Linked DNA regions of Arabidopsis thaliana. The protein of the gene in region 1 binds, or shares a complex with, the protein of each later gene. Each region holds a gene or a part of one and is shown on either strand. Other genes may lie near its edges. The genes, in order: AT5G09830 and CXIP1. A codon is read from its position in the direction of its gene.

The links.
Region 2: the proteins of AT5G09830 (region 1) and CXIP1 are in contact, whole or in part, in an NMR structure (PDB 2MMA), measured with the Arabidopsis thaliana proteins. Residues at the interface, in NP_568217.1 of Arabidopsis thaliana: Arg46 (codon at 860), Leu47 (codon at 857), Leu48 (codon at 854), Arg50 (codon at 848), His51 (codon at 845), Arg52 (codon at 842), Asn55 (codon at 833), Met62 (codon at 812), Ile65 (codon at 803), His66 (codon at 800), Ala67 (codon at 797), Leu68 (codon at 794), Ser69 (codon at 791), Ile70 (codon at 788), Lys71 (codon at 785), Gln74 (codon at 776), Gln78 (codon at 764); in NP_191050.1 of Arabidopsis thaliana: Lys130 (codon at 3,040), Ser133 (codon at 3,031), Asn134 (codon at 3,028), Trp135 (codon at 3,025), Pro136 (codon at 3,022), Thr137 (codon at 3,019), Glu146 (codon at 2,992), Phe147 (codon at 2,989), Phe148 (codon at 2,986), Asp152 (codon at 2,974), Ile153 (codon at 2,971), Glu156 (codon at 2,962), Ala157 (codon at 2,959), Thr160 (codon at 2,950), Glu162 (codon at 2,944), Glu165 (codon at 2,935), Glu166 (codon at 2,932).

What each region holds. Positions count from the first base shown.
Region 1 is NC_003076.8:3,057,103-3,062,829, forward strand, and holds AT5G09830 (BolA-like family protein), read right to left. Parts: upstream 1,724-5,727; 5' UTR 1,668-1,723; coding exon 1,608-1,667; intron 1,024-1,607; coding exon 1,001-1,023; intron 913-1,000; coding exon 714-912; 3' UTR 501-713; downstream 1-500. Other genes in the region: AT5G09820 (Plastid-lipid associated protein PAP / fibrillin family protein), read right to left, coding at 1-278; AT5G09840 (Putative endonuclease or glycosyl hydrolase), read left to right, coding at 1,925-3,810, 3,980-4,868. UniProt on the Arabidopsis thaliana protein: May act either alone or in interaction with glutaredoxin as a redox-regulated transcriptional regulator, or as a factor regulating Fe-S cluster biogenesis. The GRXS17-BOLA2 heterodimer binds a labile, oxygen sensitive iron-sulfur cluster.
Region 2 is NC_003074.8:20,338,945-20,346,418, forward strand, and holds CXIP1 (CAX interacting protein 1), read right to left. Parts: upstream 3,521-7,474; 5' UTR 3,428-3,520; coding exon 2,906-3,427; 3' UTR 2,413-2,905; downstream 1-2,412. Other genes in the region: LHCA1 (chlorophyll a-b binding protein 6), read right to left, coding at 762-904, 996-1,284, 1,372-1,474, 1,788-1,978; AT3G54910 (RNI-like superfamily protein), read right to left, coding at 4,023-4,289, 4,417-4,557, 4,620-5,333; PMR6 (Pectin lyase-like superfamily protein), read left to right, coding at 6,367-6,503, 6,586-7,474. UniProt on the Arabidopsis thaliana protein: May only reduce GSH-thiol disulfides, but not protein disulfides. Probably involved in the regulation of the redox state of the BOLA proteins. May act as Fe-S cluster donors to Fe-S cluster-requiring proteins.

The DNA.
Region 1 (5,727 bases):
GCTTCGTAGAGCTCTTCTTTTATATGAGAAACTGTAATCTCTTCTTGTTCTTGTTCTTGTTCTTCATCTTGTTGTTGTTCATTTGGGGAGGAACAAGAACTCTGTTCTGTGACTTTCCCGATGAACATGGGTCTGAGCCTAAATGAGTTGTCACTAAAACTCAGCGTTTTGCCATTAGAACTGGTGAAAGAGACTAATACTTTCACGTTTCCTGTTCTTCTCGAGATTGCTCCTCGTGAAGCTGCCATTGATGGTGGCTGGAAAAGGTTACTCGTCATTAGCAGTTTATACACCAGAATCTCTAAACCCAATGGAGCTTAATAAGAAGTAGAAGAAGAAGATGGGATTTGAGGAAAAAGAGAGAGAGATAGATTTATGGGGAGGAGAATGGACAGTTTTTTTTGGTTATTTTATCCATCTTTTAGCATCTATCTCTCCCCCCCACCATACACTGCACTGACTCTATTATAAAATTTAGCCAATCCCATTGGTCTTTTTTTTCTTTTTTAAGATGGTGTCATGGTAAAATTCTCAAAAAAATCTCCATCTAAATTGAGAAAAACCCAATTTTTGTTATATTTTGCAACCAATTGCATATGTTTTAAAAAAGTGTTTACACTTCATCAAAAGCAGTAATCGGAGTACAGTAACCACAAAGTATCAACATAGTAAATGCTCTGTTCTTTGTCACAAGGCTTTTAAAAAACAGAAATTCAGGCATCTTTGGTTAAGGTTGCAGAGTCTTGTGATGGTGGCTTCCATTGTTGTGGAGTCTGAGCTTTCTTAATAGAGAGAGCATGAATCTCTTTCATTTCTTCTTCTAGCGCAGCATTCACCATACGATGCCTCTCCAGCAATCTCTTCCCTTCGAATTGTTCAGAGACAACCTCCACTTCAAAACTCGAACCACAACTGCAATAAACAGTTTTGCTGATATTAAGAACAAGAAATTATGCCATAAGCCAGAGAATCAAATGTGTATTGACAATCCGGTACTTACCCTCCAGATATGTCAATGACTTCCTGGTACACACAAAAACAAACAATGTCACTAAAAAATTCTAAAAGCTAAAGATTGAAACAATTGGAACACATGAATCAAGTGAAAAGGGAAATAGATTGACATTGAAGTAACTTCAATCTTCACATGTTATAAAGCAAAGAAACTATACACATCCTTGGATCTGCTTTTTGAGTTCTAGTTCACAAAAAACCATGACACAAATAAAATTTTCCGACAAGAACACTCACTACTAAGTTGCTAATACATCAGGAACACTACGTCATCAAATCCTGAGCTCAGTATCACACTGCATCAAATTACACCTAACTACGCAAACAACCACCTTTTATATTCTGTTTCAGAGCTGAAAGACAACACATAGTGATGTATAATCTAGATGCTGAGATTATTACAATACATAGTACCTCTTATGATCCAACTATCAAAGTGTATGATTTTGATCAAAGTGAGCAGGTCAAAAATCTCAAATTTGGCAATTTTCCCAGATCAATTTGATGATTAGGGTTTCAAAGTTTCCCACAAAAGTTTCAAACCCTAATCAATAGATGAAATTGAAAGAAGAAAGCAGTATAAGAACACTCACGAGATGAATTGGCTTAAGTTTCGAAGTCAATGAAGCTTCGACTTGCTCCTTCGTCACCATCTCTCTCTCTCTCTCTCAAACAAAAATTGAAATCCCTAATTACTGTACTCATTGAATTAGAATATTAAACCATACGCTATTTGGTTTTGGTTTAGCGAGAGTACGGTTTAGTTTGGTTCAATTGGGATACCATTCGGTTATCGACAATTCCAAAATAATAACTAGGGTTTAAGCTCTGCTTTCCTTTACTTCGTCTTCCTCACTCCTAAAACCCTCTCAGTCTCTCCATTTCCCGGAGCAAAAATAGCTCTCCGACCATGAAGTTTGGATCTTTACCATCCAAATCCCTTCTCTTCCGCCTCTCTTCTTCCTCCACAACCCAATCTCACCGTCGAACAATTACCCTTTTCATCACTAACATTCATTCCTCTCCATTCTCCACCACAACCACCTCCGGCTCCAATTTCGTCTCCGGATCCAGCCATTCTCCCTCTCGACGTCCTCAGCAAGACGAAGAGTCCCGATCCGTTAGGGTTTCGGTCTGGTGGGACTTCCTGAGCTGTAACTTACCTGTAGACACCAATGTCTACAAAGTAGCACAATCAATCACCGCCGCTATCAGAAACAGCGGAATCAAAGGACCAATCACAATCACAGCCTTCGGTGACGTTTTACAGCTCCCCAGATCAAACCAAGACGCTCTCTCCGCTACAGGAATCAGTCTCACTCATGTTCCTAACGGTGGTAAGAACAGTGCTGATAGATCTCTAATCACAGATCTTATGTGTTGGGTTTCTCAGAATCCACCACCAGCTCATCTTTTGCTAATCTCTAGTGATAAGGAGTTTGCAAGTGTGTTACATAGATTGAGGATGAACAATTACAACATTTTGCTTGCGAGTAAATCATCAGCTCCTGGTGTTTTGTGTAGTGCTGCTTCTATTATGTGGGATTGGGATGCTTTGATTAAAGGAGAGTGTGTTACTGGTAAGCATTTTAATCAGCCTCCTGATGGTCCTTATAACTCTTGGTATGGTCACTATAGGATTCCTCTTCTTGATCCATTTGCTATTGCTACCACTACTGAGCAATCTTCGTCTAGTGTGAAAATCGAAGAACTATCCGAGTCTGTGAATTCGAATGCTGTTGTTAACCTTCGTCCTATTCCAAAAGAAGTTGTTGATAAGATTCGTTCGATAGTGAGTTTATATCCCAAGGGGGCTGCCATTACAGAACTACGTGCTGAGCTGAGTAAGAGCAACTTGGCTATTGATAAAGATTTCTATGGACATAAGAAGTTTTCGAAGTTTCTTTTATCCATGCCAGATATCTTACAGGTTACTACAGTAAGTGAAGGCTTGTTTATGATTCGGGCTGTTACCGAAAAGAAGCCTCCGATGCGGCTTGATTCTAGTCCTCGTTTGTCTACTGCTGTTGATCAGAAGATTAAAGATAAGGAAACTGTTAATGCTCCATCACCAAAGCTAATTAGCGATGTAGAGCTTGCTGCTGAAAGAAGAAGAGATGGCTTACTTGGAAAGAAGCAGGAAAAGGTATTGGAGAGTGATAAAATTGTTAAAGAAGAATCATCAGAGAGTTCTCAAGACCCAATTCTGGTCGGCCAGAAGGATGTTAAGGCAAATGTTAAACCCGTCGAGACGAATCAAGTCGCTCTTGTTGCGTGGAGTGATTCGTCCATGGAAGATGGCTTTTTTCAAAAGCTAAAAAGACTGTGGTATGGTTCACCTGAGATGGAATTAGAGCATCTCCCAGAAATGAAGAGCGTTTCTGGAAGTGGAGACACACATAGAGAGGATAATGACTTAAAGTCATCAAGTCAGGGAAGTGGAAACAAACATAAAGAGGATAAGGACTTAAAGTCATCGAGTCAGGGAACTGTGCCCATGTCTCAAATCTCACCTTCTTTCGTTGCTGAGTCGGTCGATGAGGTAAAAGTTGGAGCTGATGACGTAGACAGTAAAGATAAAGATGCAAGTCCAGGCTTTTTAGGTCGCCTTTTGAAGAGTTTCAAGTTCTGGGGAAAGAATACAAAGTCTAGCAAAGACTCTAGTGGGAATCAGGAGCTTGTCAATGTTGATTCTCAAGTACAAGACATATTTGCAAAAGAGTATTTTTGGAGTGATATTGAATCTTTCATTAATTCTCCAAGAGGCTTTGCTATAGTATCTCACTCGAGGACAAGGTGCGTACATTCTCTTCCCTCCTGATTTGGCAGGACTTTGATTAGATATTGATTAATATGTAAATCTATCTTAGGTTCAGAACTATTACAATTGGTTCTTGCATTAGCCATTTGTTGTCTTTTTTGGGACGAGTATTCAGCTAATGCTGTTCCGTCTTAACCTGGTCAGGGAGGTGATGGCTAAAAATGTGCAGGAGGAAGGGCCTTCGTGTCTCAGACTGCTCGATGAATCAAGCATGCTTCATTTAGTTACTTTGCTAATATCAGAAAAGAAATGGATTGAAGAAACCCCATCTTCTTCTTTACCATTCAGAATCATCAAAGGATCTAGCCCTGGCCACCGTCATGCTTCAAACGGTTTGAGCTCAATCTTCTCGGATTCTTCAAAATCACAGTGGCAGAAACAAAATGGTGAGAAAAGCGGCAAGAACGTTGCTCATGCTGGAGTTTCTGTTGGTTCTGTGGACCGGAAAGAGCTGGAAAGATACAAAAGTAATGCAATAGCGGATTGTCAGAAGATGATAAAGAAGATAACAGAGGAACACCCTGAAGGGTATAGCCTGATTCGTTTCAGGAAAGACTTCTTAGAGGAGTATGGGTACCATTTAGCGGTTGACAAGCTCGGTTACGACAACCTGCAGTCTCTGATTCGAGTCATGCATGGAGTGAGAATAGCATCTGGATACATCTTTCCTTCAACTCCTTCACCAAATGCCAAGTCAAAAGAAGATGATTCGGACTTGGCATTCGCAGAACTTGGTCCAGTTTCTGATACAACAACTACCCACCCGACGACCAAAAAGCTTCCAGTATATGAACCATCACTCTCAGAGGATGAAGAAGATTCTGGTTCAGAGAGAGATAACCCAGAGAAGAAGAAGCAACAGATGATGAGTAAAGAAGGTAAAGAGAGCTCGTTATTGCAAATTCTGGATTCTTATTACACAAATAAAGATGGAGAATTGAAGGAGAATCCGGTGGAGAGGAAGCTTGTAAGCAACGGTAGAAAGCAAAAGCCTACAAAGACGTATTCTTTTGTGAAAGATTCAGAAGTCTAGTGAGTCAGAGGGTTGTTTACTGTTTAATTAACAATCTCCCGAGGAATTGAGTGTAATTAGTTGAAGCCGGTTTTGGGTTTGGTCTATGGTAAACCGAATCCGGTTAAGGAGAAATAAGATTAATATGGTTCAAACTCTTTTCAGTGGCAAGTCGCATCGTATGCATTTATTGATAGGTTTTACTGTATTACGTGATTTTTTAAATTAAATTTTGGTTCTTAATTTCAACGTTGATGTGTAAAGCACGGAATGAATGAATAGAAATAGAAAAATAAAATGTACTCCATAAAAGATGGAGTTATTTAAACATTTTATTCGATTAGATTAAATGAAGAGTTTAAAAGTGATAATGACATGCTTTTTGGTTATAAGTTAGGTATTAAATAGTTAACAAACCAAAACTAGATTTGGTATATAATTTATTGTTGACCATAATGTTTATACAGTTTTTTTTATAAATAAAAAATGAAAATTTCGGGGGTTTCAATTTGTGCCAGTAGTTTCATTTTAGTAATTCTAAAAAAGTTTATAATTGTTGTCAGAAAGATGTATCTAAGGAGTAATTATTAAATAGGAGTAAGAGAAAAGTATTTAATGAAATGTTGTGACATACATGTGGAGTTGCTTGGTGAATCATCTTTGTCACTTGAGTCTTCTCAATGGACACTCGATTAAAAACACACACCAATAAAAGTACTTAAGAAATGGATAAAGAAAAGAAAATTGATCTTATTATTTAAGCCTAATCTTGTCTTGTTCCCTTAAAATATACCAATATTAATTACCATTAAAGGCTATGTATACATATTTTAATACAATAATTAAACAAAACAGCTCATGCGTATCCACAATGATTCGG
Region 2 (7,474 bases), on another chromosome or scaffold:
TTTTCTTCAAATTCTAGCTCAATATATAATTAAGGGAACCATTGAATGTCAAAGATGTTATTTTCTAGAACTATGTCTCATTTAAACTTTATAGTTGAGAATATAAAAGGAAGACAAAACTTTCCAAGACTCTGTTTAGAGAGTACTCTATTTTGTAGGTGAAGATTAGTATGCAAAAGAACAAAAGAAAAATTAGTAGAAGTATAGAACAAATGTGATAAGAAAGACATCAACTAATTTCAAAAAAAATCCTTAAATGATTTTACTAGAAAAGAGAGGGAAGAAAATTAACAGGATTGTTTTTGTTCAATATGAAAAAATGTAGAAGGTAAAAATGAGGGGGAAAAAAGATGAATAGAAAATATTCATCAAAACTCAAATGTAAAATGCATGTATCTTGGTGTGGTTCAATAACCATTTATCTAAGTTGATATAAACAAAAAGCATATTTGGATAGAGTTGAGAACTCTAACAAATAATCATGAGCTAACAATGTTTCTTCTGTTATGGAGTTTATAGTATGTGAATGTGATTGTTGAGAAATCTAACAAATAGTCATGAGCTTACAATGTTTCTTCTGTAGGAAGCATGAGATGTAATGTGTATTTGGGTTCAAAAGGTTCATCACTTAGAATTCAAGCTCACACGAGCATTCGATCACCAAGACAAATTACAGGAATTCACAAATCTGTCTTTCATTACACAGTGTTTTTGATACACATAAAGCTCATAAGGTACACATATTTCTATTTTTACATTCATTAGTTGAAAGGGATAACAATATCGCCAATGTTGTTGTGCCATGGATCCGCCAAGTGAGTTGCCAAGTTCTCCAATGGTCCTGTCCCCGGGTAAGCCGACTGTTGCACACAGAATCCTACAAACGCCAACAGCGCAAGCCGCCCTGTTACACCCACCAAGCAAAAAACACCAACATTAGATATACATTTGTACATAAGTTTGATCAAGAAAGGTAAGTTGTTGTGTGTGCTTACCGTTCTTGATCTCTTTAACTTTCAATTCCTCGAGCTTCTTGGGGTCCTTCGAGTATCCAAGAGGGTCAAATGCGCCTCCCGGGTACTTCTTCTTCTCAGGGTCTTTCTCCATACTTCTCTGGTGCTCAACAAATGCAATGGCTAAGAACTCAATGGCCAAGATTGTGGGCAAAGTACCCCACGGGACTGGGTTTCCCAAGTAAGTGGCTTGACCCCCTGGTAGTGCTGCCCATTCCTGAGCCTTAACCCAGTTTCCATATCCTAATGCTTCTGGTACCAAAATCCCAGGCTACAACACCACCCACCAAGTCCATTAGATTAAACTTAACAAGACTAAACCCTTATGATAAGACAAAGATTGGATATTGAAACTTACAACAGCGAGCATAGCCCATCTACAGTGGATGAGCTCTGACTCTTTGTATCTCTCAAGGTTCGCTGGAACTTCTCCAAGTCCAAGTGGGTCAAACCCAAAGTCACTGCACAATGTTGTACCCAATAACTTAGAAAAACTGAAACTTTCTAAACAACCTCCAATGTTGAAATCAGAACCCTTAAGTCATCAAAAGAGGTTCCAGTAATCTATCTAGAATCTCTGAATACACAACTAAAGGGAATTCAAATTCTGAAAGGAGACAACTTTCTGAAATATGAATACCCAATAACATAAAAAAAATTGAATCTTTCACAAAACGTACAATGTTGCATCATGTCATCAAAACAGAGTAATCTAACAAACAATTCTGATTCCAAACTGAGCAACAAAACAGAGTAAAAGGGTTCGAAGCGTACCCAGGAGCAGAACCGTCAAGGTAAGCTGGTCGTGGCTCGCCAGGCATCCAGTGAGCAGCCATTCTGATACGACCAACATTCCCGGCGTTTGGGAGTGGAACTCCGGCGGATACGAATTTAGACTTGGAAGAAGAGAGAAGCGAAGGGTACACGGCGGCTATGCCACAGCTCATAAGCGAGTTCGACGCCATCGTTTCTCTCTATCTGTCGTTGTGTTTGCCACCAAAGGAGAAAGATGTGGACGAGAGGTGTTTGGTGGAAGTGTGAATGTGGGAGACTGATCGTATAAGTAAGATTTGTGAGATGAGAATCTAAAACCAGATTGCAATTGGCTATACAGAGCCTGCGTGGCTTTTTCATTGGGCCACGTGTCTTCTCGATATCATGTTCTTCTGTTCGATATCCATCTGCACTATGTGGTTCAGATAAAAGCAGAATCTACGTATATTACTATTTTGCCATTTATCCACTGCAACGAGATGCTATCAGATAAGTCTTCCTGTTCGGTGAAACACATTTCTACTAATGTTTTAAAACTTGACCCGGACCGGTAAATCTGCGATTGGTCATGAATCCGGTCTGGATTTATTGCTAAGACTGGAGACTTATCAAACCGGTAAAACTTGGATCAACGAACACATGCGAGGCTAAATCATATGTCTTGAAAGGAGTATCTAACAAACGATACATTTTGAGACAACGTGTTTAGACATTGAAGTGAGACAGAATACCATTTGCAGACACACTGTACCGGTGAATGTTCAGAATCTTTGGAACTAAGTTTCTTTAAATTGTATCTCAATCAGGATATGAATGAGCATAACAACCCATGACTTCATGTCTCTTAGTCAGAAACAAACTTAGATTCTACTAGCACTACTTCACACATAAACCTTTCAACAAACAACACAAATTTGCAGGCCAACACATATGACAAAGGAAACTCAAATTCCAAGCAACTCCAACTGTTGTATACCTAAATCCATCATACAATATATGTCTCTTAATGTTACAACCACAAACTCTGAAACATCAAAATCACATTTTTTTTCCCAGGTGATAGATAGATAGATAAGATCAAATTCCATCATCACAAAAACCAAGTATTGAAATCAGGATCAAGAGCACATAGCTTTCTCCACCTCTTCCTGCAATTCTCCAGTCTTAAACGCCTCAAGAGTAATATCACAACCACCGAAAAACTCACCGCCGATATAAAGCTGAGGAAACGTCGGCCAATTCGAATACTCTTTAAGTCCTTGCCTCAACATCTCATTCTCCAGAATATTCACATCTTCGAAAGGAACATTCAGATTCTTCAAAATCTGAACCACAGTGTTGGAGAATCCACACATCGGGAAGTCTCTCGTTCCTTTCATAAACAGAACCACTTTCTCCGAATTCACCAGTTTCTCCAGCGTGTCTTTAAGTTGCGGCGTAAGAGCCGACGCTGAGCATCGGAATTTAGTTGGTTTCAGCTTGAGATTCGAACCGTAGAACGATAGCTGATGGTTATGGACGACGAGTGCCGACGTTGGTTTAAGAGAGAATCTGATAGAGTGAGGCTTGTTGGTAACGGAGGAGGAGACGACGGCGACCGAAGTTATCAAGGTCGGCGTTTTGACAGATCGGAGAGCCATTTTTGACGACTTTTAGATTTGGAATTGAGAAATTGAAAAGGTAAATGATTTATGAGCCACAGACACTCAGTGCGAGTGAGAATTGAATAAACCATGTTGCCAAACATCACCACTAAGCCGGTAGTGCATGTCATAATCATGGGTTTAAAAATAAAAATTAGAGGACATTCCGGTTCGGTTTGGTTCGACTCTTTAGATTCCGGTATTTTAGATATTAAGAAATTGGTTGGTTCCACTTGGATCGTATTAGTATTTCGGTTTAATAATTTTAGAGAAATTATCAGGGCATCAAATGCTTTTCAGTTTTTCAACACAGAGCTAGTTCTCTTTTCTTCATTCACAAGGTATGTATATATCTCTACACACCTATAAAACCCCATAAACGATTAAAACTTATCATATAACTTCTCCAATCAACATAATTTGTTTTTTGGTGGACAACATATAGAATAAAGTTTTTATCACATACAAAAAAAACGGAAAACATAGAAAAAGATGGTTGACGAAAACAAATTTTCAGGTTGAAGACAAACCATACGAGCCCGGGGACATGGAAGAACTGAAGAACAAGCTTTGTTTTGGTGATCAAATACTCTCAATCAAACACGAGTTGGCATGTTGTTGAAGCTCTAGAAGAAAGTGCCAACTCCTTTAACATGTCAAATCTTTCATCATCAAAAACACATGACTTGATTGTTGTGGTCTTCAAGTGAACAGCGTTCTTCAAGAAATACACTGCAAGATCTCTCTCTTCTGGTGTTCCTCTATATGCCGACAAGTTGAGAGTTTGGAGACTCAACAACATACATTCAGGGACAGTACTTGGTTGATGCCAGTAAAGGATATCATGATTCTCATGATACTGAGATCAAACAGAAGAAGAATTACAGATCAAACAGAAGAAGAATTACAGATCAAACAGAAGAAGAATTACACTAAAACCATAATGTGCATCAGACAAGAAAAAAGAGTTTGACGAACAAACTTACATCCATTTCGGAAAGGTCTAGTGCTTGTAAGTTAGAAGAATCTTTGAGCAGTCGGACAAGTAAATCCGACGAATGCCCTTTGCATCTACATAGCTTCAGATGTTTAAGCTGGTTGAAGACAAAACCTCCATCATACATAGCCTGCGCAATATTAAAAATTATCAGCAAATGCATATCTAAACAATGAGTTGAGAAAATGATACCTGTGAACATATTGAAAGACGCTTGACAGATGTGATTGATCCAATAAGACTCTTGATGCTATGTAATTCAACATCTATATCTGCCTCTATCAGGTTAGGCATATTCTTAACCAAACAGTAGTGACTCTTACTGTTATGGTCTATAAGTTTAAAATACTTTAAAGAAGGAGTTTCTATCACAATCCCATCGATCTCATAAGAATGAGGTATAAAGAGTGATAAAATCTGCAAAGATGGGACAACAACAGTTAGCTTTTCCATGCTGTCTGACAAAAGTAAATCCACCAATAGATCTTCAAGAACAGGGCAGTTAGATAGAAGCCGATGAAGAGAGTCTTCATTGAGGTATCTCACGCTGTGAAGTTGCAAAGTTTTCAGAGAGGGAAGAAATGCCATTCGAGGAACATCCAAGCGAATCTCGCCACAGAGTTCCAAGATCACAAGCGATTTGCAGGTATACAAGTTACTCGGCAATATGTTTGGCTTCTCCGGATATGAAGAATAAATAACCTCCAGCTCACGCAGGCAGTGAGAAACTGCTATAACAACCCACATCTTGATATTCTCAGGTGTGCATTTTGAATCAATTAAGTAAAGACGGAAGCTTTCTATAACCGGAGCTCTATGTAATGGCAGATTTTTGTCAAGAAAACACTCCAACCTCTTGCATTCAGAAGAATCTCTATGACCATACTTAAGTTTAGGCAACCACATCCAAAGATACTCCCATCTTTTCGACAAAATGCTAGTGGATACAGCAATTTTGTTGGAACAAACAATAATATCTTAATAAGCACTTCATCAGATAACTCACTGAATCTATCCATATCTTGAAACCCGAAACCCCAAGTTACTGTTGTTACTGTCGACAGAACTTGGGACCCTAATAAGAAAGAAGATAACATCTTTCAGGCTCATAAAGCTAAAGAAGCCAATTAGTAAACAAGTGAAAACTCGGACACAAAGAGGAACAGTACTAAACCTTAGAAACAAGCTAGATTGTTAGGTGAAGCTGAGAAATTTTCAGTGCCCAAAGAACTGTATATCCTTTTCAAATCTAGTAGAATGGTAGTCTGAACTAGGAATCAAGAAAGGGTAAATGTAAACGAAGCTTGAATGGTACATAGCAAGGAAAAAGGAATATGAACAAGTTGGTTTATCAGAAGATACCACAATCGCTGAGCATCGGAACGACAAAGTGTTGTCCTCACCGTTGATACTCACACTGGCCACTGACCCACTCATCAAAGCGTTCGGCGTCCATTTAATTTAGGTGTTTAATTACCATAAACGATGGGCCTGGTTATGGGCCTAACTTTTATGTTATACGCCCATTTAACTTGGGTGTTTAATTACAAACTTGCTTTAGCGACGACTTTGACGAGAAATGAGAGGCCCAATATAAAATACGAGCTTGCTTACCAAAATTTGAGACCCAAATAGTAAACCAATCTCCTCCAGAATGCAAGTGGACACAAATCCCCAAGAGAAACAGAATCAAAATCTCAAGAAAACCTATTAGCCCTGTTTCCAGCAAGAGGGCAGAGAAGCAGAGAGAGAGAGAGTGTGAGAGAGAAAGCAGCTTCTTCTTCTTCTCCTCCTCTTCTCCCTTATGTGGATTTCAAATCCTTCTCTGCTACTCTCTCTTCACATTTCTCTACCAACATTCTTCTTCTGACACTCAACACACACACTGCAACTTCCACAGCTAAATCTAGCAACACCAAGTCAAAATCCGCCACTAACGATGCTTCTTCAAAACTTCTCCAACACCATTTTCCTTCTCTGCCTCTTCTTCACACTCCTCTCCGCCACTAAACCCCTAAATCTCACTCTCCCTCACCAACACCCTTCCCCTGATTCCGTCGCTCTCCATGTCATCAGGTAAACAAAAGCTCCTCCCTCTCTCATTACACATTTTCCCAGATAAAATAAAAACTCAAACTTTCTTCTCCGAAATTCACAGGAGTGTAAATGAATCTCTTGCAAGAAGACAACTAAGCTCACCATCATCATCCTCATCATCATCATCCTCCTCATCATCATCCTCTTGCCGTACCGGAAACCCAATCGACGATTGCTGGAGATGCAGCGACGCAGACTGGTCAACAAACCGACAAAGACTAGCAGACTGTTCAATCGGCTTCGGACACGGCACACTCGGAGGCAAAAACGGCAAGATCTACGTCGTAACTGACTCATCCGACAACAACCCAACAAACCCAACACCAGGAACACTCCGTTACGGCGTAATCCAAGAAGAGCCACTCTGGATCGTCTTCTCTTCAAACATGCTCATCAGACTAAAACAAGAACTCATCATCAACAGCTACAAAACCTTAGATGGTCGTGGCTCAGCCGTTCACATTACCGGAAACGGTTGCTTAACTCTCCAATACGTTCAACACATCATCATCCACAACCTCCATATCTATGACTGTAAACCTTCAGCTGGATTCGAGAAACGTGGTAGATCCGATGGAGATGGGATCTCGATCTTCGGATCTCAGAAGATCTGGGTTGATCATTGTTCAATGAGTCATTGCACCGACGGGCTAATTGATGCTGTGATGGGTTCTACAGCTATAACTATATCTAACAATTACTTCACCCACCACGACGAGGTTATGTTGTTGGGTCATGATGATAACTATGCTCCTGATACGGGGATGCAAGTGACGATAGCGTTTAATCATTTCGGACAAGGGCTTGTTCAGAGGATGCCTAGGTGTCGGAGAGGTTACATTCATGTAGTGAATAATGATTTCACTGAGTGGAAAATGTATGCTATTGGTGGTAGTGGTAATCCCACCATTAACAGTCAAGGAAATCGTTACTCTGCTCCTTCTGATCCT